Linked DNA regions of Ovis aries. The protein of the gene in region 1 binds, or shares a complex with, the protein of each later gene. Links are inferred from orthologs where the notes say so. Each region holds a gene or a part of one and is shown in the gene's direction. Other genes may lie near its edges. The genes, in order: KCNQ1 and KCNE3.

The links.
Region 2: the proteins of KCNQ1 (region 1) and KCNE3 are in contact, whole or in part, in a cryo-EM structure (PDB 6V01), measured with the Homo sapiens proteins. The link is inferred for Ovis aries from reciprocal best matches to the Homo sapiens genes KCNQ1 and KCNE3. Residues at the interface, in NP_000209.2 of Homo sapiens: Arg116, Pro117, Thr118, Gly119, Trp120, Cys122, Phe123, His126, Phe127, Phe130, Leu134, Leu137, Ile138, Val141, Leu142, Ile145, Gln147, Tyr148, Arg181, Met238, Val241, Asp242, Gln244, Thr247, Lys362, Asn365, Ile368; in NP_005463.1 of Homo sapiens: Asp54, Asp55, Asn56, Ser57, Tyr58, Ile61, Met65, Phe68, Ala69, Val72, Gly73, Leu75, Ile76, Leu77, Tyr79, Thr80, Arg81, Ser82, Arg83, Val85, Lys87, Asp90.

Annotation. Positions count from the first base shown.
Region 1 is NC_056074.1:45,403,980-45,417,932, reverse strand, and holds part of KCNQ1 (potassium voltage-gated channel subfamily KQT member 1), read left to right. Parts: intron 1-5,945; coding exon 5,946-6,056; intron 6,057-6,312; coding exon 6,313-6,408; intron 6,409-8,282; coding exon 8,283-8,405; intron 8,406-9,298; coding exon 9,299-9,443; intron 9,444-13,953. UniProt on the Homo sapiens protein: Pore-forming subunit of the voltage-gated potassium (Kv) channel involved in the regulation of cardiomyocyte excitability and important in normal development and functions of myocardium, inner ear, stomach and colon.
Region 2 is NC_056068.1:52,521,712-52,536,354, reverse strand, and holds the start of KCNE3 (potassium voltage-gated channel subfamily E member 3), read left to right. Parts: upstream 1-5,916; 5' UTR 5,917-6,070; coding exon 6,071-6,078; intron 6,079-7,511; exon of another isoform or gene 7,512-7,606; intron 7,607-14,326; exon of another isoform or gene 14,327-14,526; intron 14,527-14,643. UniProt on the Homo sapiens protein: Ancillary protein that functions as a regulatory subunit of the voltage-gated potassium (Kv) channel complex composed of pore-forming and potassium-conducting alpha subunits and of regulatory beta subunits.

The DNA of each region.
Region 1 (13,953 bases):
TTCAGAATGGTGGCGGGGTGGGGGAGTCAGCCTCTGCTCAGGGCCCCCACCCTCCGGGGAGAGGCCTGTCCCTACTGCTCCGGGTGGGGCAGGAAGTTGCTCACGTCTCCATCCCCACCCTTGAGAGGCCGAGGCTGGGGCTCCTCATGTTGGCCAAGTCAGCATTTTTTTTCTGGAAGCTTCCAACATTGCCAGGCTGCCCCAGGAAGGTGAGGACATGCTGACCTGCTCTGATGCCGCCTGCGGGCCGGGGTGTGGCTGGCCCCCCAGCAGGTTTGGAGGGAGGGCACCTCGTCCCCTGCTCCAGCAGGGGAGGGGTCACTTTCTGGTAATAGGCAGGGCCTGTGGAGGGACACACAACCCGGGGCCGTGAGGATCCCCAGGGCCAGACGGCGCAGTGGGGGGGCTCAGCTGGTAAGCAGTGCCCGGCCCCGGCCTCCCTGCCCGCCCGTCTTCCTGGCCTCTCCCTCAGAGCTGCCCCCAGCCTGGCCCCTGTGAGCCCTGCTCCCGCGCACACACCTGTGCAAACATCCGCCCGCCAGCCGGGAAAATGGCCCCTTTGTGCCCAGCTTGGCACCGGTGCCCCGGCCTCGCCGTCAGCTGCGGCCCCGGCCTGGCCGCCGCAGGCCCAGCCTGGCCATTGTTCCTGCGGGCTCAGCGCCCCCGCTGCCCGGCTCTGGGCAGACGACCCCCATTTGCAGTGGTGGCGCCCCTGCAGCTGTTCAGGCGGGCGGAGCAGGCCGGGCTCAAGTTTGGGCTGTGCCCCTGGCAGGTCCTGGACAAGCAATCAGGACATGCAAGCGGGACCGCCCGCGGGGGGCTTTGGGGCCAGACGGCCCTCCCCCTGTGTGGCATTGCCATGGGCCACCAGGGCAGTGAGCCCAGCTCGCACCCTGAGGCTCCCCACCGGGGGTGGACGGCCCAGGGCCTGCCTTCAGGCTGTGCTGCTCTCGGGGACCTGGCACACGTGGCAAGGCCTGCTGACCAGTTAGGCTGCCCCCCAGGGGCACACGGCATCGCACCAGACCAGCTCCTCTGGCTGGACGCGGGAGAGAGACCCTGCGGTTGGGTGTCTGGGCCGTGGGACGGGCCCTGCGCTGCGCTTTCTCTGCAGAGCCGGGTGTAGGAGCGGGCTGGGGGAAGCCTGCCAGGGCCGCGTGTGGACCCACTGGGCAGCCTGAAGGTGCCCCGGCACCCTCAGCACCAGGCTTGGCCGGATGGTTGGATGCGCCTGGGAAGCGGTCGGTTCTGCCTGGGGCCCACGGGGCGCCCACAGCCAGGTGAACCACCAGCACGGTGCTTGCTCTCGCCTCTGGAGACCGGAAATCGAGACTGAGGCTGGCTGCCTCCTGAATCTCCGGGGGAGGGTCCTTCCTGCCTCTCCCAGCCTCGGAGGCCCAGGTACTCCGGGGCCTGTGGCCGCACCTTCTGTCTCCTGTGGGGACGCCGGTCGGCGGGTGCAGGGCCCACTCGGGAGCTCAGGACCGTCTCCTCTAAAGGTCATTAACCCAGTCGCATCGACAAAGACCCTTTTTCCAAACAGGCCTGTGTTCCGAGGGCCCAGGGGCACATGGACGCTGGGGGACGCTCCTCTGCCGCGGACAGCACTGTCCCAGGTGGGCTCACCAGTTGGTCCCTCTGCTCACTGAGCCTCGGTTTCCAGGCCGGGGTCGCCTCCACTCCTCCCGCCCTGGGTGGGGCGCCAACACGGGGGTGAGAGCTCCCCACCCCCTCCCAGTGTGGCGCCCCATGCCTGGCTGCTGAGGTGTCGGGGAGGATTTAAGACTTTCTTCTCTGCCCTTGGAACAAAATGCGTTTGTTTGTATTAAAGTTTGAGTGGAGGGAAAAGCAGCTTTTGCAAACACGGGCTTCTCTGTTTAGCGCCCGGGGGTCTCTAAGATCCGGAGGTTGCCAGGCTCTGTTTACCCCTGCATCTAAATTTAGAATTGGGAGTGAAAAGGGTGGAAGCCGCCCTGCGTTCCACCGCCGTTTAAAACTGAGTCTGACTCCAGTTCCTTGGCTCCAGAAAGTTCTACTTCCCAGGCCGGACTGTGTCCTGGCCGGACTGTGTCCTGGCCGGGTGAGGCCAACGGGTCTGGGGGCCGCATGGGGGGCTGGGTGAGGACAGGGCCCCCAGGCATTCACAGGCAAGGTCTGTCGATAGCGCCCAGTGTGGGGGCCCATGTCAGGCTCTCATCTGGAGTTGGGGAACTGGGCCCAGGGGGCAGTGGGCCACGCCTACCCCCCGCAGCATCCAGGGCTCCTCCCCTGCCTGGACTCCGTGCAAAGGTGAGAGTGCGCTGCAGCTTTGATGGGAGGGTCCCCAGGACCCCAGGCCACCGCCAGCTCTGAGTCCCTCCTGCACCTGTCGTCGGTCACGTATGCGACTGAGACCGTGGGCGCTGAGAGCTCAGCCAGAGAAGGGTCTTCACGGCTGGATTTTGCGGGATGAGTAGGGGTCCACAGGGCAGGTCTGTCTCTCCGTCCTTACTGTCCGGGATGGTTTCTTATGTGGACTCGGCAGGCCCAGTGAGGGTGGTGTTCAGGCCTGGTTTCCTCTGGGGTGGGGTTCAGCCCTTGTCATCTGGAGAAAGAACTTTCCGGCTTCAGCTCGAGTGAAAGAAGCATGGTCAGCATCAGGAAGACAGGCAAACAGGAAGCAGTGGGGTGACCCTGCCAGGAACTGGGGTGGAGCCACGCTGACCTGCCGAGTGACCCTGGGCTGCGCTGGGTGTAAGGTGGGTGCCCACTTCCGAGAGCGGGTGGAGGGCTGTCAGCGAGAGCTCGGAGAGCCTGCGGTGCCCAGGGTGTGGTTGAGTCGCTCAGTCGTGCTTGACTCTTTGTGACCCAGTGAACTGTAGCCCACCAGGCTCCTCTGTCCTTGGATTTCTCCAGGCGAGAATACTGGAGGGGGTTGCCATTTCCTTCTCAAGGGGACCTTCCCGACCCAGGGATTGAACCCGGGTCTCCTGCATTGCAGGCAGATTTTTTACAGTTTGAGCCCCTGGTGCCCAGTGAGGGCTCAGCAAAGGCTGGTTGTGCATTTCAGGGACCGTTACTGCTCAAGGTTCTCCTGGCGGCCCCACAAGCCGGATGCCAGGCAGTGACTGTCCCCAGCTGATTCACACTCGAGTGTCCGTGGCCGCCGAGGTCCATCACGCCCCTCAGCCCTGCTGGTCCTGAGGGTCCCACTCCCCGCAGACCACACGTCGCGTATGCCTGTGTGTGTTTATGCCCCTAAGCGTGCGGGTCCTTCCTGACCCCTCAAGGCTGGCAGCAGGTGCGGGTGGCCCCGGGCACACCAGGCAGCCAGCCCTGGGGCCAGGGCAGAGCTGTGACCTTTTCAGTTTCCCCATCTGTAAAATGAGGTGGCAGCAAATCTGCCTCTGAGGGCCAGCTCCCTGAGAGGCCATGATCCCAGGAAGGAGGCCCTTTTTCCCACTGCTTCAGAGAAGTCCCTTGGATGACAGGGCCTCTTGACCCGGCTGGTTCTCCCACCAGCACGTCCCTGGGGCAGTGTGTGTGTGGGGCAACTGGGGCCTGCAGGGGTCAGCCGCCCGGGCCGCACGCGCTCGGAGACTTGGTTGCGGATGGCCGTGGTTTGTTGCAGTCAGCTGTGGTCCTCATACCGTGATCCCCGGGAGGCAGGAAGGGCCGCTGAGGAGGAGATGTCTATGCTGGGTGCCCGGGGCAGAGTCCAGGGCCTCTGCTGAGGGGCTGTGGGCCTGGCCCCGCCGAGGGGTGGATGTGGCCTGGGCAGGGCCCAAGGGTTCACGGCATCCTGCCAGGGGCTGTGTGGGGCTCCCTTGTGCCCCCAAAGGAGGGAGAGAGGACCTGCCTCCACCCTTGCAGTGCTGGCCCCACGGCGCCCCAACCCCTGCGCCTTCTCGGCCATGGTGATCACAGGCTGGTTTCTGGGAGGGAGAAGGGGTGCTCGCGTGATGAGGAGCCCTGGGCCTGCGTGGGCCTCTGTGCGTTTATATATGACTTCCCTCAGAAGGGAAGCGGGCTTGTTTGGGGCTATGCATTTGCTTTTGTTTTCAGCTCGAGTTTGCAAGCCTGGCTGGGTGGGCTCCTCACATGCTGGCCGCCGTCCCCCCAAGACAGGTTGGGGTCTCTGGGGGTAGCCCCACATTGACCGGCGCTGGGCCTCGGGACCACTGCACCTACCTTTTGCCTCTCTGAGACAGTCCTGCCGCTCCCCCAGCCCCTCTCTCTGCACCTCTCCTCCCCCAGGGCCATCCTCTCCCTGATTGCATCTTTCCAGCCTCCTCCCTGAGGCTGGGCGAGGCCTGGACCCCCAGCGCAGCAGCCTCTGGCCTTGGGTTTGTCCTCTGCCCCCCCTACCCCGACATCACAGCAAGGAGCCAGGGATGTACACCCCTGGTTTGGTGCCAGCCCGCTCATCCAGCAGTGGTGAGACCCCGTCAGATGGTCTGGAGCTCACGGTGCGGCTGCACGTTGGCTGGACCACGCTGCACCCCTGGTCTGAGCACCGTGGGCCCGCTTCTGTCCTCGCCCCCGCTCCTGGCCGCCCCTTCCCGCCCTGGACAAATGGCCATGGTCTGTGGGGTGGCGGCAGGCTGACCACGTCCCCAGTGGAGCCGGGCTCCTAAGCTGGGCCTTCTGCTTCCCCCACAGCCCGCTGGCATCCAGGAGGCGGCTTTAGAAAAGAGGAAATGGAGTGACACCGTGCTGTGTTTTGGGGGGACGGGCAGGCCCTCTGGGGTCTCCAGCCCCAGAGGAGAGACCCCGGCCGAGGCGCCTCCCCGGGTCTGTGCCCAGGGGACGTGCAGCTCGGCATTCCAGATCGCCTGCCATCGGGGGCGAGCACACAGGCTGTAAACAGCCCATTCCTAAGCTGCTTGTGTCTGTGAATTCAGGAAAAACAAACAGCTCTGCGGGGATGGGCCGTTTCCTCCGAGAGCTGGAAGGATGTCGTTAACTTGACAAAGGAGGTCTGTGACAGGGTCTGAGGAGCCCAGAGCGTGCCTTGCACCAGGGGGTGGGGGACACCTGGCCTCCCACACTGCGGTCCTCACCCAACCCCTGAGCCCAGACTCTCGGTCACTCTTGCTTCCCGGGGCCTCTTGCCTCTGCCCTGGGCTTCCAAGCCGTTGCGTGTACCCGTCTCCATGTGGACAACTATGCTGGTCTCCATCTGTGTGGACACGTGCGGACCCTTCTGCAGAGCTCATGGAGCAGCCTAGCTCAGGGGGTCTGACTTAGGGGAGGCCCAGCCACCCGTCACAGGGCTGGGTGCGTGTGCTGATGGGACGAGCTGGGGCTCTGGGCACCATGGGTCCCTTGCCAGGCTCAGAGCTGAGTCCTCAAAAACCAAGAAGGCAGTCCACGGCCCAGGCTCTGGCGCCGGCAGGCACAGCCAGGATGAGTCCCGAGGCCCTGGGAGCCAGCCTCAGATGCCAGCAGCAGGCGAGCCTGCAGCGGGATGGGGGACACGAGGGGCAGCAGCCCCCACCCCGCTGTCCCAGCACATGCCTTGGATGGACAGCCCCCTACCCCCATGGAGAAGACCGCTCATCTGGTTCTCCCAGAAAAAAGGGCACGTAGAGCATCTGGTGCCTGGGCTGGCATCTGGAAGCAGCATGCCATCTGTGGCCAGGCTCTCTGTGGAGGGTGGGCCTCAGGGGTGGGGGGGCTCCTGGCCTCCTGGGTGGTGGGCCTCCTTGGCACGGGGCGGGGGTGGTGTAGGGAGGCCGAGCTCCCGTGCACACGCCGTGAACTTGCTTCCTTTGCAGCATTAAGTTTGGGCTCCAGACCCTGTGGGCTGGGGCTCTGGCCTCCGAGCTGCCCAGCCCATCGGTGCAGGGCTCTCTCCCTGGCCTCTGCACGCAGCAGGTCTCGGGTGGAGGGGCTTCTGGCTGGACGGACGCCCGTCCTGAGGTTCTGGGGCTGACCGCCGCCTGCTGTCCTCCTGCCCACAGGTCACGGTCACCACCATCGGCTACGGGGACAAGGTGCCGCAGACGTGGGTGGGGAAGACCATCGCCTCCTGCTTCTCCGTCTTCGCCATCTCCTTCTTTGCGCTCCCGGCGGTAGGTGTGCTCAGGGTTGGTGCGGCGTCTCCACGGCCCCTCCGCTCTGGAGGCTGGTGGGGGTGGTGGCCACCCTGTGAGCAGACACCCAGAGGTGGCCCACTCAGACCCCCAGCTTGCTCGCCAGGCGCAGGCTCTCTGGAGGCACTGGCCTGGTCTGCGGGGCCTGCAGCGCGGAGCCGGGCCCAGGGCGCCCAGCGCGCCTGCTGCCCGCTCCCGCATCTGCAGGGCGTGAGCCTGCCTTCTGTCCTTCCAGGGGATTCTCGGCTCCGGCTTCGCCCTGAAGGTCCAGCAGAAGCAGAGACAGAAGCACTTCAACAGGCAGATCCCGGCGGCAGCCTCGCTCATCCAGGTGGCGGCCCCGCCCCCGTGGCCTCGGCAAGGGCGTCTGGCCACCGGCCCACCAGGCAGGGCAAGGGCAGGGGAACACACACATGTCTGCTCGGGGAGCCGGGCGTGGCCCTCGGCCCCCAGTGCAGCTGGACCCTCGCCCATGGACCCTCTGAAGGGTGGAAGGGCGGCAGGCCACGGCACGGACTCGCCTGCCCAGTGTAACCCCTGTCCCGGGAGTTGTGGGATGATGCCTGCCGGCTGGTGGGAGGCACGGTGCTGGGGAGCCCAGCTGCCCCTGTCCTGTGGGCCAGGCTCGGGGATGAGGAGGCGGCCTGGCCACTCCCGCTGTGCCCACTCCTCTGGACCTGTGGCCTCCGGCCGCAGCGGCCCCCTGAGTGTCTGTCCTCAGCCTCTTCTGCGTGGGGGCAGGTCTGGGAGGGGGGCGGGAGTCAGCAGGGGGCCGTCCCCCAGGGGGTCAGGGCCTGCCTGTGCAGCAGTCAGGGCCTCAGTCCTCCCGGCTAACCCAAGAGCGCGGGCCACTTTCTGGGCCTACCTTTACCTCCCAGAGGCTTGCGTCCCCACAGGGCCGGGGCTCAGAGCGCCGGGCCTTTGGGGGTGGGTCGGGGGCTGCAACTGCCCCAAGGCCCCTTGTAGCCCCCACCTCAGGCTTCTGTGACAAGACTCCAAGCCCAACAGAAGTGGGGAGAGGCAGGTCCCAGAGGCAGGCGGCCCTAAGCCCCTGGATGTGGGCTCCAAGGACAGCCTGGAGCGTGGGGCAGGCCTCTCAGCGCCAGTGAAGCCTGGGCACAGGGACCACTGGCAGACTGTGGCGTCCCGAGTGTCCACCCAGAGCCTGGGAGCCGCAGGAGCGCCTGGGGCTGTAGGCAGCGTGGCCTGGCGGGGGCCGGGAGCAGGGCCGTCGTCTTATGTCAGCCTGGACTCGGGCCCCTGTGCCCACCAGGGTGGCCTGGGCCCCCAGAGCTGAAGGGCCCCAGGGGCTGCAGCGGCAGCTGCAGCTCAGCGGGGGGCCTCTGCTCTGTCCCTCTGGAGCCTGTCCGGAACCACCGTCTGGGGCTGGATGCTAACCCTGGACAGGAAGGAAGTGGAGGCAGCGGCCCTCGGGCCGGGGGCTCGGGCCCTGCAGCTGGTTTTCTGGCCCCACAGCCTCTCTCGGGGAGACCGTAAATCAGGCAGCAAATGGCCTGCCTGCAGGGCTGGGTTAGTGGACTCCCCGAGCGGTGGGTGTGCAGCCTCGCGCACACCTCCCAGGAGACGGGAGAGGCCTGGAGGGGGGTGAGGGGCAGCTGGAAGTCCACCCCTGCCTGGGGGGCCGGGGCGTGGCACCCGGCTCCGGTTGCAGGGGCATCACTGCCCAGGAGCGTGTCCCTACCGCGTCTCCCTGGCTCCCGCGGCCAGCAGTGCTGAGGCCATCAGGGTGCGTCCTCCTACGAGCTCCTGGCTGCCCTCCTCATCCCCAACAACCCCTTTCCTCCAGGTCACCCAGCGTGGCAGCTGCCAGGGGTGTCTCTAGGCCTGAGACCTTCACCCACATGCCATCTGGAGGTTCCCAGAAACTGGGGGTTCCTGGTGGGTGGCGCTGCCTCCTGGGCACTCAGTCCTGCTTCTGCCGGCCCGAGGCCCTGCCCCTTGGCGCTCCCTGTGAGTGCCCCACCACGGCGTCCCTGGGGGTGGACACAGAGGGACTGGGGTTCACAGGCTTTGTGCTGTCTGAGCGTGTGCACCGCCTGGGGAGGTGAGGGCGGACCCCGAGCCTCAGGAAGGGGCTGGTGGGCAAGAGGCCCTGAGGCTCAGGCAGCAGAGGGGCCCAGCAGGCAGTGTGGCTGCAGTTAGCGTGGGCCTGCGGGTAACGGCTGCCCCTCCCGCTGGTTTCAGACAGCCTGGCGGTGCTACGCAGCGGAGAACCCAGATTCCTCCACCTGGAAGATCTATGTCCGGAAGCCATCCCGGAACCACGCCCTGCTGTCCCCCAGCCCCAAGCCCAAGAAGTCAGCCATGGTAACTGCCGTGTTGCAATTGGGGGGAGGCCACGTCACGGTCAGGATTTGTCCCTGATCCTTCAGTCCAGTGTAGCCACGTCGGCATGGGCACTGGCAGTGTGCGCCGTGCTGGGCTCCCACCATCCAAGTGGCCCAGGTCTGGCCCCGGGACTGGCCACACCAAGGCCAGCACTGGGCAGGTCCAGAGGAAGCACCATGGGGAGAGGCCCGGCTGGATCCTGGCCTGCCCTGCCGGCGGGGTGTTCTCCACAGGGCCTGGGTGTTGGGCTGTCTGTGCCGGGCAGGTGAGCGGCAGGGTGGCCGTGGCTGCCTGGCTCAGAGAAGAGGGCCTTGGGGGTCTCGGTATAAGGGAGCTGAGGCAGGCTTGGGCGTGAGTCCCGAGAGTGCAGGGTGACCGGCCCAGCAGCGGCCTCCCTCCGGCCCGCACCCACACCGCCCTGGAGAGATGCGGTCTCCCAGGCGCTGGCTGCCTGCGAAGCCTCTGCACCCGCCGTTTCCTCTGCCAGCACTTCTCCCAGACCCCAGCGGGGCTGGCTCGCTCACTTCCTCCCAGTCACCACCTCAGAGGCGCGCCCTCTGGCCCTCAGCCTGTGCACCCCGCTGCCCCACGCTCTCAGCCCCGCTGGCCACAGCCCGCATTGTCCCCTGCCCTGGGGCGTTCCTGTCTGCTTGCTGTTTCTAGTTTCTGTCTGCCTGCCCCCAAGGCTGTGAGCTCCCAGGGGGCCGCTGGCAGCACCCCACGCTGCAGCACCCCCTGCCAGTGTGCGAGAGTCCCGGAGCCCGGCCCTGGCAGGTGCCCAGAGGGTGTTGCCACCGGTGGTCGGGGGTCAGCAGAGGGCCCCGGCAGGGGACGCCCAGGACCTGACCACTTCCTCTCGTCTGGTTTTCTAGGTAAAGAAGAAAAAGTTCAAACTGGACAAGGACAATGGTGTGAGCCCAGGAGAGAAGGCACTTTCGGTCCCCCACATCACCTGCGAGCCCGTGTTGGAGGACCGCAGGCCCGAACCCATCTCGGTAGACGGCTACGACAGCGCTGGTGAGGAGCCCCCGCTTGCAGTGGAGGGGGCAGGCCCTCCCTCAGCTCTGAGCAGGGCTGCCGGGGCCTGGGGGGTCGGGGCAGCCTCACGTCCCCGGCCAGTTGCTCTCGTCCTGGGGACAGCTGGCACTGCCACGCCTGCTCCGTCAGAGCGGGCCCGTCGCTCGTGGAAGTCCTGCCCTGTTCTGCACTGGGCTCTGGGTTTCTGGGAGCCAGGCCCTGCCTCGGCCGTGCTATATGCCTGGCGCCCAGGCCTGGCAGAGAGGAGGGGCCAATGGTTCACGTGGACCCCTGTCCCGGGGGAGTGGGGCTGAGGGTCCTAAGCCAGCCTGTGTGCGCCCGCGGCTGGCCCCTGCTCAGCTCTGCGCCTCTGCTCTCTGTCTCCTCCGTGTCCGCCTCTCCCCTCTTCCCGGGACCCCCAGGGTTCCGGCCAGCACCTGGATGTGCCAGTGTGTCAGGGGCTGAGGGCGGTGCCACTGCCTCAGGCGTGGCTGAGGGGGCCGAGCCCGTGTGGTGCTGGTGGGTGCCTGGCGCCCCATCTGCCAGGTTTGTGGATGGCTAGCCCGTGACGCATCCTCCGTGTCTGGGCACAGCCTGTGGAGGGCGGGGGGTGCTCTGGGAGGAGCCACGGCCCCTTGGCGCTCCTGAGGCTGTCTGTGGGCTTCCTCTTTGGGAAGCTGGGTGTGCAAGACCCAGCCTGGGTGCCCGGGGTCTCCTCACATACTGTCGGGCCCCTGGGATGCGCCACCCGCCTGCCCACTGCCGTGGGCACAAAGGACGATTGTGCCCGCCATCCGGATCTGGGGCAGGACCATTGTTGCCTTGCAGATGGGGGCTTTCTGCGAATGCTAATGCTCAGGTCGGCACAGGGCGGAGCCATGCTCGCTGTTGGCTGAACAGGGAGCCCCCGAAACGCGGCGTCCATTCAGCCCATGCGGCGTTGTGGAGTCCTCCGTGCTGCCTGCGGAATGTTAATGAGGGGCCAGGGCCGGGAGTCAGGCGCTTTCTGTGGAATGGCCTCGCAAGGAGGGCTTTCTCCTTCCCTGCCAATGAGATAAGTCTGCCCAGCCCAGACCCGCCGGATTTCTAGAGCCTGAGCTGTCGGCCGGGCCCCAGGGATGCAGAATGCCCCCGCCCGAGGGATCCCTGACGCGCCCGCCTGGCGGCTCTGGGGAGCCCTGGGGTGGGAGCAGGGGTGCGCCGCCGGGGTAGACGCTGTCACAGGGACAGGCCCACAGCCCCACTCCCAATACTGGGCACCACCCGCTAGGCTGCACCCCACTTCCACGCTGGACCCTGACTTGAACCTCTCTGCTCCACACACAGCGCCTGCCAGCAGCACGCACCCCCAGCCCTGCCCACGGCGCCAGCCCGCCCAGGGTGTTACCTGCCTGCCGCGCTGCCCACAGAGCGTCCCCTCGCATGCCTCTCCCCGCCGTAGGCAGGGCTCTCTGTCTCCAGCTGGCGGCTGCTTGGGCTCCTGTCCTGTGGCTCTGGGACCCCGGGGCCCTAGGCACGGCCGCCCTGTCGAATCTGCTCTAATCCCCGGGTGGTGGCCCCGTCTGCAGGGCCAAGGAAGGGCCTGGCAAGCAGTAGGACTGTCTTGGACAGAGGTGTTCAGGGGCTGGCTGCTCCTCTCCATGGCGACCTGGGCGTGGCTTTTCCCACGGCTCCCCCGCCTCCTTGCTGTGGGCTCCCCACGTGCGGGGTCTCTTCCCATCTGTGACCTTGGCCAGGCTGGTGGCCCTGGGCCTGAGTTGTGACCGGAGCCCGCAGGTGCTGGGCGGGCCAGATGGCAGAAGGCCGTGGAGCAGGAGCGGCCACAGTCAGCCCTGTGCCCTGCGGGATTTCCTGGGGTGGCACCCATGGAGCGGTGGGCAGGACTTGTGCCCTGCGGGATTTCCTGGGGTGGCACCCGTGGAGCGGCGGGCAGGACTTGTGCCCTGCGGGATTTCCTGGGGTGGCACCTGTGGAGCGGCGAGCAGGACTTGGTCAGGACCCGTGGGCAGGACTTGGGGGCAGGTCAGCTGGGAGCTTGCAGTGTCGTGGTGGGGGGATGGGGAGAGGAGGCAGAAACCAGCTGGAGGGGGGACCTGCAGCCTCGGGGGTTCCCCGGGTATCGGCAGAGCTGGGGGCAGCGTGAAGTCTCTGGGTGAACAGAGCTATCTGCTCCCATCACAAGGACTTCAGACAGAATTTCAGAGAATGAAGGGCGGGAGCCCACGTGCCTGTTCTGTGGAAGGACCGCAGCGACACACAGAGGCCTTGCCTGCTCCAGGGGTTTCGGCTTCCGCTCACGCTGTCTCCCCCTGCTGAGTCCAGCCTCTTGCCTTCCCAGGCGTGGAGGCCATGTGAGCCCCGCCCGGAACTGGCCAGGGCCTGGCTGCCTGCCTCCTGTGCCTCCACCTCCCTGAGCAGCGAGCGGCGGGCTGGATGGGCTCTCACGCCAGCACCTCCTGCTTTGTGGCCTGCCGCGCCATGTTTGCATTTTGACTTTGTAGCCCGTCCTCGGCAGTAGCGGCTCTTTGTTGACAGTGGAGGCTCGTATTTGCTGACAGATTGGCCAGTTGTCTGTGTCTCAGTTGGAGTTGAATTTCCTTCTTCCTGAAGCCGGTGCTGTCTTCCGGGACCGTCTGTCGACGGCCTACTCGGTTTCCGCTTGTCTGAGATTTCTGTATTTCACTTTTGCTCTTGAACCATGGTCCAGCTTGCTAGAACCATACAGGTTGAGATCTGTATTTTCTTTAAGTAAACAAAAATTTTTAAATTGAAACACAGTTGATGTACAATGTACCAGGCACACAACAAGAGAGTCAGTTATACATGGATATAGATTCTCTGTCATATTCTTCTCCACTGTAGGAGGCTGGAAGTCCGCCGCCAGCTCCCAGCTGGTGTGCCCTCTTGAGCTGGCCATCTTCTGTAGGCGACCCATCCTCTCTTCTGATGACCTTAAACCCCTTCTCTTTGACTTTGGTGTTCTGTAGTTTCATGATGAGGTGCTGTGACCCCTGACTCTGAGGGTTTGCGTCTTTCATCGAGGGGAAGATTGGCCCTGCCGGGTCACAGGCTGCCGCCTGCCCTGACTGGCCTGGTCTCTCCTGGAAGTGTCTGCGCGACCCTCCCGGGCAGCGCTCCTCGCCGAATCTGCCGCCGCCTGTCCCTGTGCCCTCAGCGACCGCTGTCTGGTCTCCCAGCCCCTCACCCGTGTCTCAGTTTCCACCTGTTCTTTCTCTCCCGTGTGTCCTCACGTGAGGGTCTCATCTGCTTGGTCTTAGCATCCTGTATCTTCCTCGTGTGTGACGTCACGGCTTTGAGCCCCTTAAATGTGCTGATCCCACCCTATCTGTCCTGGAACACCATCAGCTGCGCTCATGGAAGAGTCCTATTCTGTTTGCAGTGGCCTCTCTGATGCTCGGCTCCTCGTGGGGCTGTGGGCGGAGGTGGCGACTGTGGACGTTTTGTATCGGTGGGTTCCTCTGGACTCTGGTTAAGGGGACACTGGTCTAGAGGGGCGACCCAGTGAATCACAGCAGGACCTGCGTGCGGCTGGTGTATAGGTGTGGGGCTTCCCAGACAACCTGTGTCATGGGCCCTGTAAGAGCGAGTGTGAGCGCGCCCACCGCTTTCATTCTAGGAAGACAGCCGCGGCAGGCGGCTGCTGTCCCTGCCGCCGGCCAGTGCGAGCGTTTGCCCGGGCTTTGTGGTGCTCTGTCCGTGTCCGCCCTTGGCTCTTGGTTCCTCTTGTTCATGTGGAGCCGCAGCTGCCAGTTCCTGCCTCATGTGGTTTCAGGTGCGGCCTCTTCCCTCTGGGGGGCCGCACGGTCCTCACTGTGGCTGCTCAGGTGGACAACCCAGGCAGCCTGTGGGTCAGAGCCTGCTTGCCCTCTCCACTGGGAGGACACGTCCCTGGAGCCAGGTGAGCTCCGTGGTGCCCACAGGAAGTTGCTCTGCTCCAGAACTTGCAGAGAGATGCTGTCACTCCCCTTGCCAGAAACGGAAGTCCTCCCCTTGGTGACGGACAGAGCTGCTCCTGATGAGAGAGGCAGGGCGTCCCTGTTGGCGGAGGCTGGGAGGGGACGCTCCAGGTTGGGATGATCCTGTGGATCCCTCGAATTCTACTTTTAACACAGACTTGGAGACCCATGCCTCAAATACCGAGTCACAGTGCTATGGGCAGGCCAGGGGTGTGTGTTGGTAATAAGCCCCCGGTTACCCTGGAGCCGGTGGCCTGGGAACCAGCACGGCTGTGAGAACAAGGCGCTGCTTCTACAGCACCTGGCCCGCATGCCGCCTTGGTCTCACCTGGGTCTAAGCTGCCGTGTTCAGGACTGAATGGGCTCCTGGTGCCCTCCTGGTGCCCACCTGCCTGGCCTCGTCTGAGGGTGTGGTGTTCCCCTGGCTCCAGTCAACACACTTCACTCACGCAGCCCCAGGATCATGGGGAAGTGGTCCCACGAGGTCTTGCAGGCCAGGGCCTGTGACCCCTCCAGTAAGGGTGAGAGTTCCG
Region 2 (14,643 bases), on another chromosome or scaffold:
AGTTACAGGAAGCAGTGAAAGTTAATCTCAAGATGGCCATGTTGCTTGTATACACCAAGGATAATAAAGAGTAGTTTATGGAGAATCACCATCCCCATTAATTCTACCACATCCAAAAACAATAACATCTTGGCTGAAAATCCTAACACATCCCATCAAATGAGAAAAAAAAAGATAAAGAAAACAACTTTCAAAAGCCCAGAGGGAACTACATCCAATCTCTTGGGATAAACTATAATGGAACAGAATATAAAAAAGAATGTAGTGACGAAAGAGCGGGGGCTGGTGCATGGGGATGACCCAGAGAGATGTTATGGGGAGGGAGGTGGGAGGGGGGTTCATGTTTGGGAGCGCATGTAAGAATTAAAGATTTTAAAATTAAAAAATAAAAACTAAAAAAAAAAAATTTAAAAAAAAATTTCCTACTTGTGTTGCATAATATGCCCTTATAGTTTTCTAATAAAAAAATAAAAATAAATAAAAAAGAATGTACATATGTGAATAACTGAGTCACTTTGCTATACAGCTGAAATTAGTACAACATTGTAAATCAAGTATATCTCAATTTCAAAAAAACAGTGACTAAAAAACAGAAGACCAGAAACATAAATTAACAGATAAACCATAAAGGAGAACTTCCTCAAGGATGGAATTGGATTGATATAGGAAGAAAAGTTATGACCAACCTAGACAGCATATTGAAAAGCAGAGACATTACTTTACCAACAAAGGTCTGTCTAGTCAAAGGTATGGTTTTCCCAGTAGTCATGTATGGATGTGAGAGTTGGACTATAAAGAAAGCTGAGTGCTGAAGAATTGATGTTTTTGAACCGTGGTGCTGGAGAAGACTCTTGAGAGTCCCTTGGACAGCAAGGAGATTCAACCAGTCCATCCTAAGGGAAATCAGTCCTGAATATTCATTGGAAGGGATGTTGAAGCTGAAACTCCCAATACTTTGGCCACCTGAGGGGAAGAACTGACTCCTTGGAAAAGACCCTTATGCTAGGAAAGATTGAAGGCGGGAGGAGAAGGGGACGATAGAGGATGAGATGGTTGGATGGCATCACTGACTCAATGGACATGAGTTTGAGTAAACTCTGGGAGTTTGTGATGGACAGGGAGGCCGGGTGTGCTGCAGTTCATGGGGTCGCAAAGAGCTGAACACGACTGAGTGACTGAAATGAACTGAACTGAGTCAAACAAAACTGGCTCTACAGATGATGAATGGCACTAGGAATTTGAGACATGGGAAGAGTATCCTTTAAAAACTAAATTGCGTTCAAAATCTTTTATTATTCTTTTTTAGGACTGAAGTGGCTTTTTATAAAACAGATTTTGTTGGTTTATTTCTTACATTAAAAATATTTTAAGCTGAAAGTCATGAGGATATCTGGTTGTATTAAATTATTTTCACAAACTTGCCTTAATAAAAGGTAAAAATGTTATTGATTGATATACTTTATGAAGCCATTTGAGCTTTTTAAATGACAAATATAGGGAATAATAATCATTGTTAACTTATGTGATCTTAGTCTAGTGGATGTAATTTTTTCTAGAGAAATATAACGCTGTTTTCAAACTCTCACTCCAGTGGAACAGAATAATGAGTGAGCAATTAGCCCACAGCGTGATGCATGCTAATAGGCTCCTCATCTTATGAGGGAGCCTGGTGGGCTGCCGTCTATGGGGTCGCACAGAGTTGGACACAACTGAAGTGACTTAGCAGCAGCAGCATCTTAATAAAGTCTTCATCACTTCTTTCTCTTAATTACTGAAGCATAAATTGCTTCAGAGAAACTTAAATACTAGTATTTGTACTTTATACATAATATTCTTTGTAGTTCCTTTTTCTTTTCAAGGGCAAACTGCTTCTTTATAATAAATGAGAAACTGTTTATATTGATACTTTTCTCTTGGTTTGGGTCACAATGTTCAATTATGAGAGCTTTCCATGGAATTTTGAACAGGAGAATATAAAAACAAATCTGCCAAATGCATCAGAAAGTATTTGAATAGAAGTGCTGGTTCCTATTTAAAATATTTCTCTTTGCTGCAGATAGATGCCTTATATCTAATTTTTGTATTATTAGAGACCATGGTTTTAAGAAATTCCTATTTATCTGTTGTATGTTTTTAGTTGTTTGGTAACTGAGGTCTTCTAAATTTTTTAACACAAAACCACATTCGCAGTCTTGCTTCTTTTCAAGTATCCAAATGTATTCTCAGGGATTTCCCTGGTGGTCCAGTGGTTCAGAATCCCCCTGTCAAGGCAGGGGAAGTGGGTCTGATCCCCGGTCTGGGAAGATTCCCACATACCTCTGAGCAACAAAGCCCATTCACATATCTACAGGGCCCACACAAAGCAACTACTGAAGCCCAGGCGCCTAGAGTCCATGCTCTGCAACAAGAGTTCAGTTCAGTTCAGCTCAGTTCAGTCGCTCAGTCGTGTCCGACTCTTTGCAACCTCATGAACTGCAGCACGCCAGGCCTCCCTGTCCATCACCAACTCCCAGAGTCCACCCAAACCCACGTCCGTTGAGTCGGTGATGCCATCCAACCATCTCATCCTCTGTCGTGCCCTTCTCCTCCTGCCCTCAATCTTTCCCAGCATCAGGGTCTTTTCAAATGAGTCAGCTCTTCGCATCAGGTGGCTAAAATATTGGAGTTTCAGCTTCAACATCATTCCTTCCAATGTAGCCACCACAATGAGAAGCCCTCACACCGCAACTAGAGAAAGCCTGTGCACATCAACAAGACCCAGTGCAGCCAAAATAAATAAACAAATACATTAAAAGTTTTAAAGAACCAAAAGAAAAAAACAAAAGTATTTCTTAGTACCTTTGTCAGAGAAGGCAATGGCACCCCACTCCAGTACTCTTGCCTGGAAAATCCCATGGACAGAGGAGCCTGGTAGGCTGCAGTCCATGGGGTAGCTAAGAGCTAACACAACTGAGTGCCTTCACTTTCACTTTTCACTTCCATGCGTTGGAGAAGGAAATGGCAACCCACTCCAGTATTCTTGCCTGGAGAATCCCAGGGCAGGGGAGCCTGGTGGGCTGCTGTCTATGGGGTTGCACAGAGTCGGACATGACTGAAGCGACTTAGCAGCAGCAATAGCAGTACCTTTGTAATAAAAGACACAGAAGTCTCTCAAAATGCTGAACTGTAGTATATACTTACTTAAAAAAAAATCATTCATAGGGGAAACTATTGGTGTAGTTTTACCAGGAAGTTTTTAATATATACGTGTGATTCACAGGGATTCTGTATGCACTCCCCAGCTAAAAAAAACACATAGGACTACTGCGGTGGTATCTGGGAGAGTTGCTTGTTGGTTCATCAAGTCACAGCTGTGCAGCTTGGGTCTGAGTTTTTAAAGAATAGCTGTTATTAAAAAGTTTCCTTAGCAAAAGAGCAATTGAGCTGTGTCCATGAATTTTACTGGGCTAATGTTGGCATCAGTTAAATCGTTTGAATTATGAAGTATAATTACAATAAAGAAGATCAGCTTCATGTTTGAAAACTGAGTCACATTTCTTAAATTAGTATGATAGAAACATTAAAATTCAGGACCATTGGGATATTTTGATTTGTTTGCTGTGTTTTTTTTTTCTTTTTAAAGAAATTGAAACTAATACATTTGCTAGTGGAAGAAAATGGTTTGTTTTGCTTTGAAGATTCTGAAATTGTTCAGGCTTATTATGGTTCATAGATTACAAAAAATAATGCTAGTGAAATGCAAATCTACTATTTTTACTCTTTTTTTTTACATGAAATGTACAAGTTTCAGCAGGGTGGTGATGGTGGCAGTGGTGCCTCTTTACTATCTTATGTAAAACAGTTGAACAATCTCATCAATAGTGCCATCATCTATTTAACACTCCCAGTACATTTTCTAAGTTTGTTTAATTAAAATTGTATGAAATGACACAATTAACAAGCAATAAAATCTCTATTACATACACACAGATACACACAACACAACTTAACACATACACACAGATACAAAGAAATGTAGGGGAATTCTTCAATTCAGTTCAGTTCAGTCACTCAGTCATGTCTGACTCTTTACAACCCCATCGACTATAGCACACCAGGCTTCCCTGTCCATCACCAGCTCCCAGAGCTTCCTCAGACTCATGTCCATCGTATCAGTAATGCCATCCAACCATCTTATCCTCTGTCATTCCCCTCCTCCTCCTCCTGCTTTCAATCTTTCCCAGTATCAGGGTCTTTTCCAATCAGGGGGCCAAAGTATTAGAGTTTCAGCTTCAGTGTCAGTCCTTCCAATGAATATTTTGGGGGAATTCTTGGGTAAGAGATTTGACTAGATAACTCTGAGTCCTTTCAACTTAGGTTCTATTACTAAATGATTCTAGAATTCTAACATGGTATGATTCTAAGGCTGTGACTCCAGAATTTTATTAGGACAAGAAACAGTCCCTATTTTCAAAGAACTCACAACCTAGTAGATGAGGAAGACAAATAGTTACTTTTGATAACTGTAATAAATAGTCCTATAGATTAGATGCAAGGCCTTGGCAGGATGTGGGAAGGAAGGCTTACTGAGGCAGGGCTTGTTTCCTCAAGGCTGGTCTCAAGAACCATTTACATCACAATCTTTCCGGAAGCTTTCTTTAAAAAAAAAGAACAACTAATTTCTGGGCTCTATTCCAGATCTCCTGAATCAGAAACTCTGAAGTGGAACCCAAAAGTCTACTTCACTTAAAATAAGGGCTGAGGGGATTCTTAAGTAGACTGAAATCTGAGACTGCCTGCTAAGGGATTTCTCTGAGAGATGATATACAGTCTGAGAAAAAGAAGTAGCTGGGTCAAAATATGAAACTACAGAAGTCACACAGAAGTAGTGTTTTGATGAAGATTTTGTACAATTTTGTACAACATTCCCTCCATGGGATAGGCCTTTTTTGAATGATAGCACTTCTTAGGTAAAATCTGAGGTTCTGTGATTGAGGGTATATGCTTCAGATGTCCCAGGACAGAGTTTTCTTTGCACAGGAGTCAGAGCTGACCTCAGTTTGTTAATAACTATTCCAAGGCCGTAGGCTGGCAAAGAGGTCCCTGATGCGGACTTCCCACAGAGTCCCTGAGAGTCTACTCCCTGCCACCGTCCGCTCCATTGCCAGGCCTCCTGGCCCTCATTTCCCAATTGTCCCTGGCGTCTTCTTTTCTTTGGAACCTGCAGTGTCTACAGTAAGGAAGCAACAGCTTGAGTGAGGGCCTGATGGCCAGAAAGCACACAGTGTGCAGGATAGGGAGCAGTGAGACGTGTCTGGACACCAGTTGTCTGCGTATGTGAGGGACTGCTGAGACTTGGAGGAGACAGTGGTTAAGGGGAGAAGAGTGGCCTAGTGGATTTTGAGTCTGAGCTCTGCCAGCAACTTCCTTGGTGAGCCTGGGACAGTCCCCTTTCCCAAACTGGGCCCCTTACCCAAACTGTATCCTGTCTGGAAAAGAGGGTTTGTGTTAAAATCAGATGATTCTCCAGTGACCATCTGGGTTTAGCATTTTGGATTCTAAGATCTCGGATCCTAACCATCGTCCTGTGAAGAATGCATGCAAGAATTGTACCCATTTTACTGCGAGGAAGCCGCGGCTCAGTGAGGAGCAGTGACTTGACCACCACCACACAATCACGGAGGAGTAGAGTCGGATTCCACCAGCACCCGGCTCTCTGCCTCCTCAGACCGGGCAAGCCGTCGTGAAGCAAGAAAACAGTCGGTCTCTGGTCCAGGAAGCAGGCGCTGCAGGGGACGGAAGGGTCGGAACCCATAGAGCTGTGGGGCCAAGCAGCTGGGCGGAGGTGCCCAAAGCCAGCTCGCGGAGGAGAAGTGGGTGGGTTAGGGGCCGGGCGGGGCCGGGGGTGGGGACGCCCGGGGGGAGGGAAAAGAGCTCAGAGAGCGGGTCGGAGAGCGAAGCAGAGGGGGCGCAGGCAGAGCTGGGCGCGGACTGCGAGCCGAGGGGCTGGCGGAGCGCCTTGGGGCGCAGTGAGGGCACCCGCGAGCCCAGGGCGAAGAGTCCAACAGACTGCGCTCTGGGAGCCTTACAGATGGGCAGGTAAGACGCACTCGGAAGGCCGAGCTGGAGCCGGGGATAGAAATGAGCGATCCGACCGTCTCCCTGGAGGCCGGTGACCCGACCTTGGGGGCAGCTCGGGTACAGACCCCTCCTCTCCAGGAACCCAGCCACAGGAATCCCGGGGCGCACGTGGCGAGGCTGGGCCCCCGGCACGCCTTGGCCGGAAATCTGGGGGTTTGGATCGGCACTCACGGGCTCCGGGAGGGCGGCACCAAAGCTCCTTCTACATCCACAGATGTGCGAGGGAGCACCTGCGGCTCAGCCGCGAGCGCACACGCGAGTCTTCTCGCTGGGCGGGAGCCGCTTGCTCTGCGAGTGGACTTGCCAGTTCGCCACTTCGCTGTGTTTCTCGTCCTAGGCGCCCCAGTCCCGGGAGAAGCCTTGGGGCCCCCTTAGCCATATTCCAGCGCTAATAACATAGATCTAGGCTGGGGGTCAGGAGACTTGCGTTCTAGTTTACAGCTTGTGTAAAGCTGTGCCAATCGCCCACCTACCTGCTCTATGCCTTGTGCCTTCTCCTCTTGGGTTACCACCTGTAAGATGAGCCTCCCGTTCCTGCCGCCCATGTACTCCGCATGGCCTGTGGGGAAGGGGGACTGGACCCGAGAGTCTCTGCTGTAGAAAGTACAGGAGTTCAGTCCCTTTTGTGAGGGCTCGTGGAGCAGTATCTCCTCCTATCCCCTCTTCCCACTTATCAACAGTTTGCCTATGGGGAAACAGGTCCAGAGAGGAGATGGCTTGCCCAGGGTCACAGACAGAAGTAGAACTCAATTCTCCTCACTCCTATCTCAGGGCTGACTCCGCTTCAACAAGCTGCTGTTGTTCAGTCACTATGTCCAACTCTTTTGCAACCTCGTGGACTGGAGCCTGCCAGGCTCCTCTATCTGTGGGATTTTCCAGGCAAGAATACTGGAGTGAAGAATACCCCATATCCTTCTCCAGGGGAATCTTCCCTAACCAGGCATTGAACCTGTGTCTCCTGCAGTACCAGGCAGACTCTTCACCACTGAGTCACCAGGGAAGCCCCTTCAGCCACAAGAGTGCATTGAAGATGTGTTAGCTGCTCCTTATCTTCTGGTATCCAACCAGTTGTTGGCTCTAAGTGGGGGAGAGCCATACTGGAGGCAAGGAAACTGCTTTCAGATTTTCTTGATTCCTTGAGATGATAGCAAACAAACTTCTTCATTCCTTTCTCAGTCCACGCTTTGCAAAGCACCTTTCTACCTATAAATTGAATAGGTGAATGCTCCAAATTACGACTAAGAGGGTAGCAAGACAAGAAAGCCCATCTTACTGATGGGGAGAATGAGGTCCAGAGTGAAGAAATGACTTAACCAAGACACACGGCTAGACACACCTACAAAACAGAACGAGTCTCTTGACTCCAATTCCATTGTGTTCTCTATCACCAGCAGGACTACAGAATAGTACCCCTAAATGGAGAGAGATTACAGGGCTGATCAGAAAGGATGAGAAACAAGAAAGATACTCTTTATTTCTGAAAGAGGTAAGTGTATCTGAGAATCAAGAATAATAAAGAACCTCCTGGCTTTCTCTGAGGCTAAGAGAAGGAAGGGAGGGGAGAGGAGACATAGAGTTGGCTGTTCTTGGTAAAACTGGGAGGCAGGGTAGGGGAGGTAGGTAGGGAAACAGAAAAGAAAACAAAGTGACCGGCTGCCCAGTAATTCTCTCTAATGTTTATATGATATGTTGCAATTTCTTTTTTTCTTGTTTTCTAAATATTTATTTATTTGACTGTACCAGGTCTTAGTTGCAGCAAGTGGGAACTCTTAGTTTCAACACGTGGGATCTAGTTCCCCTATCAGGTATCCATCTGGGGCCATCTGCATTGAGTCTTAGCCACTGGACCACCAGGGAAGTCCTTGCAATTTCTAAAACACTTTTCCCCCATGGTCTCTCTCCAAATTGCGGTGTGAGGCAAGTTGGGGGGTGGATAATTATCCCCATCTCATAGATGAGATTCAGAGGAAATAAATGCAGTGCTCAAGGTCACACAGCCAAGCAGACAGCCGAGATTGGAACCATGAAAGGCGCACTTGAAAGGCAAGATTAGAGGCTGGGAGACTGGGATTTGGACTGTGTGTGTGCAGCAGGTGGGTGTGTGTAGCCACACCCTGGGTAGGTACACAGGGAAGAGGGTTGCAAAGCCGCTGCTGGTGTTCCAGGCCAAGAATGTTTGCCCTTTGGATTGAATGGGGTTCAGGTGCAGGGAAATCTGTGCTTCTAAAGGCGGCTTAGAATGCCTCCTCCCCAACCTCGCTTCCCCACCTGACCAAGATAGTGTCTTTTCTTTGAGCTTTCCCTTCCCATGACCAAAAGGAATCTATTTCCGCCTGCCCTTGAACTTGCTTTGTAAGTGCTTTCATGAATGTGTATTTGTGTGTGCAGGAGGGACTAGTCTAATAAGAAGAGGTATTTATCCATGTGTTCTTGAGTGCCTACTATAAAGAAACGTATGAGGCACAGGTCCCTCCCCTCACCCTTCCCAGCTCACAGTTTAGCATATACATCTATATCTATTTATATTTCTACACCCCCAATATCAGTATACACCCCCAATATCAGTATAGTATAGTGCTCTAATAGGATTTTATGCAAAGCCCTTCAGGAACAGACAAGAGGAAGAGACTTAACTGGCTAGGGAGTGGAGAAGAGGATGTCTCAGGAGAGGGTCTACCCAGGTGACATTGGAGTGGGTCTTGAAGAATGTGTGGGAGTTTGCCAGGCAGATAAAAAGAGGATGGGCATTTCTGCCTTAGCAAACATCATGAGCAAAAGCAAGAGGGGGCAAAATGCAAGGAATGTTTGGAGAATGGCCTGTAGCTCAGTATCATGGGGCATGGGCAATGGGGAGAGCTGCAGTGAGATGAGGCTGGAGGCAGGGTCATATCTAAAGGAGCTTGAATGATAATCAGCAGAGGTTAGACTATCTTATAGAGAACAGAGAACTTACAGTGAAAAGATACGGAGATAACTGTTTTTCGTCCCAGTTCCCAGGCTATGAGACCTTGAACAAGTGACTTCCTCTTGGCGGTTGGGGGGCGGGCGGGGAAAGTGCATGGTTTTTCCCACTGGTTGAATGAGGGGGTTACACCAATGACATGATTGTTAAGATCCCTTCCAGCTCAGATTCTATTTCTTTGTCTCCTTCTAACTGTATGTTAAGCTTCCTTTCACACCAGCCCATGGTGGTGATAAGACCACCAGGCAGGCCAGAGGCAAAATTTGCAGTCCCAGGAGTTATCTTTGGATTCCCTACCTGCTTTATGTGACTGCTTTCCCATGCCTTTCTACTACACTTCCAAGCACTTCAGACACTCTTTCTTGAAGAATAGCTAAAACAGAGCAGTAGGGAAACCAAAAGAACCAATAGTGGAGTTTTACTTTTCCCCAGAGAAACCTGAAAGAAAACCTCACTAAGATACCCAATTTATCCTTCAGGTCACAGCTTTATGCCTCCACTCCCAAGAAACAGGTCAGGCAAAATGAAGTCAAGAACACATTGGGTGAATCTGTTAATGTGCAGGGAAGAGTAGCACCAGGGTGTGGAGGAAGAGGGTGCACTTGGTTTGTATGGGGGCAGAAGTACATCTGGAGCAGAAAAGACCGTGGGAGACAAGACTGTAAAGTAAGGTGAAGTGTTAGTCACTCAGTCGTGTCTGACTCTTTGTGACCTCATGGACTGTAGCCCGCCAGGCTCCTCTGTCCATGGAATTCTCCAGGCAAGAATACTGGAGTGGGTAGTTTATTCCCTTCTCCAGGGGATCTTTCCGACCCAGGGATCAAACCTTGGTCTCTTCCGCTGCAGACAGATTCTTTACCATCTGAGCCACCAGGGAAGGTTAACTCCTCCCAAAGTCACCAACTTCTGCCTTTATTGGATCCTCAGTTACAACTGGTGAGAGGGACTTCTCTTGTGGTCCAAGAGAAACCAAGAGCTTGGTCCATAGAGAACCAAGCTGTCCCTTTAAGAGCTCTCTGCCTCTCCTGAAGCCACAGGATGTCCTTGCACACAGGCCCTCCCTCCCACCTCAACCCAGCTTCTGCTGCTAAGTTGCTTCAGTCGTGTCTGACTTTGTGTGACCCCATTGACAGCAGCCCACCAGGCTCCCCTGTCCCTGGGATTCTCCAGGCAAGAAAATTGGAGTGGGTTGCCATTTCCTTCTCCAATACATGAAAGTTAAAAGTGAAAGTGAAGTTGCTTAGTCGTGTCTGACTCTTAGCGACCCCATGGACTGCAGGCTACCAAGATCCTCCGTCCATGGGATTTTCCAGGCAAGAGTACTGGAGTGGGGTGCCATTGCCTTCAACTCAACTTCTAAAGACATGCGACTATGGCTCTTTTGCGCCCTCCATCAGAACCACAAATATCCAACCAGTGTGTCCAGAGAGGAGCTGGAAGAAAGTCTGAGGAATGAATGGTTTTGTGAACCTTTACTTTCCTCATTGAACCCTGCCTCAGAACCCACCCTGTCCTCCATGCTTTCCCCCTAACCCCACTTTCTAACAGACAGAGTCTGTCTCCCCAGGCTAGATCTCACTGGCAGGTGAGCTATAAAGAGGAAAAATGAACAAGTCAACAGATTTGGCCTTCAGTTTATCTGGGCTGGAATATTAAATATAACAGTCCTGGGACTCTGAAGAGTCTTAACCTTGGAGGAAAAAGTCTGCAGTCTTCTCTATCTTGTCATCTGTGGGACTCTAGAGAGCCCCCAAATCCTCTCCCACCAGCCTACCCAGTCTCCCAAATCTCACAGTGTGGTTTTATGGTATCTTCATGGGATGTTAGATCGGGACCTTACAGAATCACACAGTAAAACCCGTTCATTTTACAGATACACACAGGAGCTGGGGCCCAGAAAAGGGAAGTCACATACCCAAAGTCACACAAGTAGCAACTGAATCAAGACAGCTCTTTGGTTTTCATTTCTTTCACTGTAAAATGAGGGAGGTTAGCTAGATGGACTCTGAAGCCCCTGCCAGCCTCTGCTCTGCACAAATAAAACCACCACCACATCTGTGGCATGTCTAGTGCCATGCACTCCCTCATTTTCCCCTTTAATTTTCACAACAAAGCTATGCTACAGCATTGATGTCATGCCTGTGTTTATACCCAGTCTATCCAAATAGGCAGATTGGTAACATGGTTTTTTCCTATGTAAAACAGCAACCCAGTTCTGGCCGCCATTCTGCCACTCACCTCATTTCCTTGGGTCTCAGGTCCTTTCAGCCTTTTAGAGACTCGTAATGAGATGTCAGTACTCAGGGAAAGGGAATGTTTTAATTTTATTTATTTATTAGACTGCATCAGGTCTTCGTTGTGGCACTAGGGGTCTCCATGGAGCACAATTGCCTGGAGCACAGTTTCTCTTTCATTGCGGCACATGGACTCTCTAGTTGAGGCACACAGGCTCAGTTGTCGCATCAAGTGGGCTTAGTTGCTCTGAGGCATGTGGGATCTTAGTTCCCCAACCAGGGATAGAACCCACATCCCTTGCATTGCAGGGTGGATTCTTAAACACTGGACCAGTGTTTCTTAAACCCAAAAGGGGATGTTTTAGACTGCACTGTTAGCTGATCCCTGAGCAGCAGCTCATGTGTTGAACTGAGGTTTCTCATGAAGTCACCCAGTTGAGACATTGTGAACCTGGTGTTGGGGGACAGCAATCAGGGGTCCCTTGGTCATGGCACAGTTCCCTTAACTACAACCCTAGGCTGGCCTGATCCCGCTGCTGCAGGAAGGGGAGGGGAAGTGGGAGGGAGTGATCACCCACAGTAAAGTTATTGCACAATTCTTGGGGCTTGGCCTTAGGCGATCCACCGTGGTTCTGAGGGGTTTTTTCCTGTGTGTCTGGTTCCTTCCTTTTCTGTCCCCCAGCCGCCCCCGCCCCCAGGTCTGGGCCTTCCCAGCTTCCAAAGTCCATGTGTTGCAGGAAAAGGGACCCCTTCCAGGGCCGCCTGAAACTGGGCTCTTGTCTAACACTCGGAAATGAATTGTCCGAGGAGATACATCTGCTGACAAAGCAAGAGATTTTACTGGGAAAGGGCACCCAGGTGAAGAGCAGAAGGGTAAGGGAACCCAGGAGAACAGCTCTGTCACGTAGCTTGCAGTCTCGGCTTATGGTGATGGGATTAGTTTCCGGGTTGTCTTTAGCCAATCATTCTGACTCAGAGTCCTTCCAGGTGGTGCACACCTTGTTCAGCCAATGTGGATACCAGAGAGAAGGATTCTGGGAGGTGGTCAGACATGTGGTGTCTCCTTTGGACCTTTCCCGAACTCTTCCTGTTGGTGGAGGCTTATTAGTTCCATGTTCATTACCAGGATCTCCTATCCTAAAACAACTCATGCAAATAGTTACTATGGCGCCTGGCCAGGGTGGGCGGTTCCAGTCAGTGTGCTTCCCCTAACACATGCTGAGACCTCAGATGTGTCCAGGGACATCCTGAAGAGGCTGCAGAGCTAAGGAGCCTTGGGGCACCCACAGGGAGATTCCTGGAGCTGACGAGGAGCCAGTGAATTTGCCCGCTGTTCCATAAGCCTTCCCGGGGGAGGTGGCCCTCCACCTGCCCTGTCCGTTCAAGCCCCCTCACAAGGATATCTAAGGGAGGTGGTGACACTATCTGCCCTGGGAAGGAAACCTGGGCCACTGGAAACAGAGAGACTGCATTTTCGTCTTGCATACTGCTTCCGTTTTTCATTGTGTATATGTATTTACTTCACAAAAACAACAAGTAGATTTTCATTTTAATGAAAGCCGTGGTCTTTTTTTTTAAATTAAAATGTGTTTTAAAACTCCTCTTCACCATAATAAATGTATATGCTCAAGCAAGCCTGAAGAGGGGGCAGAGCAAAGATAATAATCTTCTTCTTTCTAATTAATGAGATTTTTAATGTGGTTAAAAAAAAAAAAGCAATGTAAATGTTATCATCTCAACCATCTCAGTAGTGTTCATTGTTATGAAACAGACCTCTAGATCTTTTTCATCTTGCAAAACTGAAACTCTACCCATTGAACCACAATTCCTGGTGATAATCTTTTTTGATAGATGAGGAAACTGAAGCGCAAACAGGGCAAGAAACTTATTTTACTCAAAGTGAGTTCCTCTAGCATTTATGCTATCTGTCTGTTGTCTGCCTATAAAACTATCTGAGGCCCCTTCTTCCTGCAACCATTACACTAGCCATCCCCTCCCTCAAGTGCCCCTCACATCTTCCATCTGTCCCTGCCCCCACCTTTATATCCCCTCCAGCTCAGCTCATGTCTCAGCATCTTAAACCTAGACTATTTCACCTGTCATGTAGCTCCCTGCCTCCATTCTTGCCCCTTTCACTCCACACTCCACATGGCAGCCAGAGAGTCCTTTCCAAGTACAGATCTGATCATTTAACCCCACCTTTAAAATGTCATTCTGTGGTTCTTCTCCACCTACATGATAAAGTTCCAACTCTGTAGTCTGGTACTCAAGGCCCTCCCTGATCTGGTTTGGACCAGCATCTCCACCCCACATCGTATCCTTCCAGACATATTATGCTCTTTTTGCTACTTTTCATTCTTTAAAACATGCTTTCTTGTTATGCCTCTATCCATCTGTTTCCTCCCCTTGCCTCTTCTACTTCCAAAAGATTCTTCAAGGTCCAGGTCAAATTCTTCCATTGCTGTGAACACTTTCCAAGCACCGATCAGAATTCATCCCTTCTTGCTTTAAGCCCCAGTACCTCCTAGGTTGTCTCCTACATTAAGAACTGGTGATGTGCCCTATGTGTAGGGACTGGTCTCCTGGAACTCCCAGGGTGAGCCTCCCAAGAGTGAGCCCCATTAGTGATGACTGGCCAGATGATTCATTGAGCCATTTGTCTCATTGTGCTGCTCCTGCTTCTCATTAGCCCATATGAGGAAACACGAAGGCACAAATTTCTTGCCTGGTAAGTGGGATAGTACATGAGAACTTATGCCTCCCGGATCTTAACTCTTCCCTCCTCCATCCAGACAAGGTTGTCCAAGTTCTAGATGGCAGAGGGCCCCAAACGCCTTGCACAAAATGTGAGCCAGTCCTGGGTTATTGCTGTATTACTTAGATTCTTCCCCCCAACATCTATATTCATAGCATTATTCATGAATATTTCTTATGAACATAACTAACTGTCAACTTTTCTGGGGAAAAGACCTTATGGTTAATAGTCAAGTGTGTTAACTTTGGTTGACAGCACTACCTTAGAAAAAAGAGTTGGAACCAATGTTCAGTGAACACTGAGTGCTTGGCCCGTGAAAAATCCAAAGTGGCCATTTTTACTGGAGACCACCAAGGGAAGGAGAGCTAAGGTAGTCCCCGCCTTGCCGACCAGGAGCATGTGGCTGCTGATAACCCTTATCAGTAACAAGAGGACAGCCTCACATTGCCTCATATGTAAGTGCTGGGGCAAAGGGAAGGCTGTGATGATAAAGCTTGTGGATTGTGGTGGGAGTGCACAAACGCTTCCTGAAGGAAGTGCGTGTGGAGCCTTGTTTAAAAGGAATGACATGT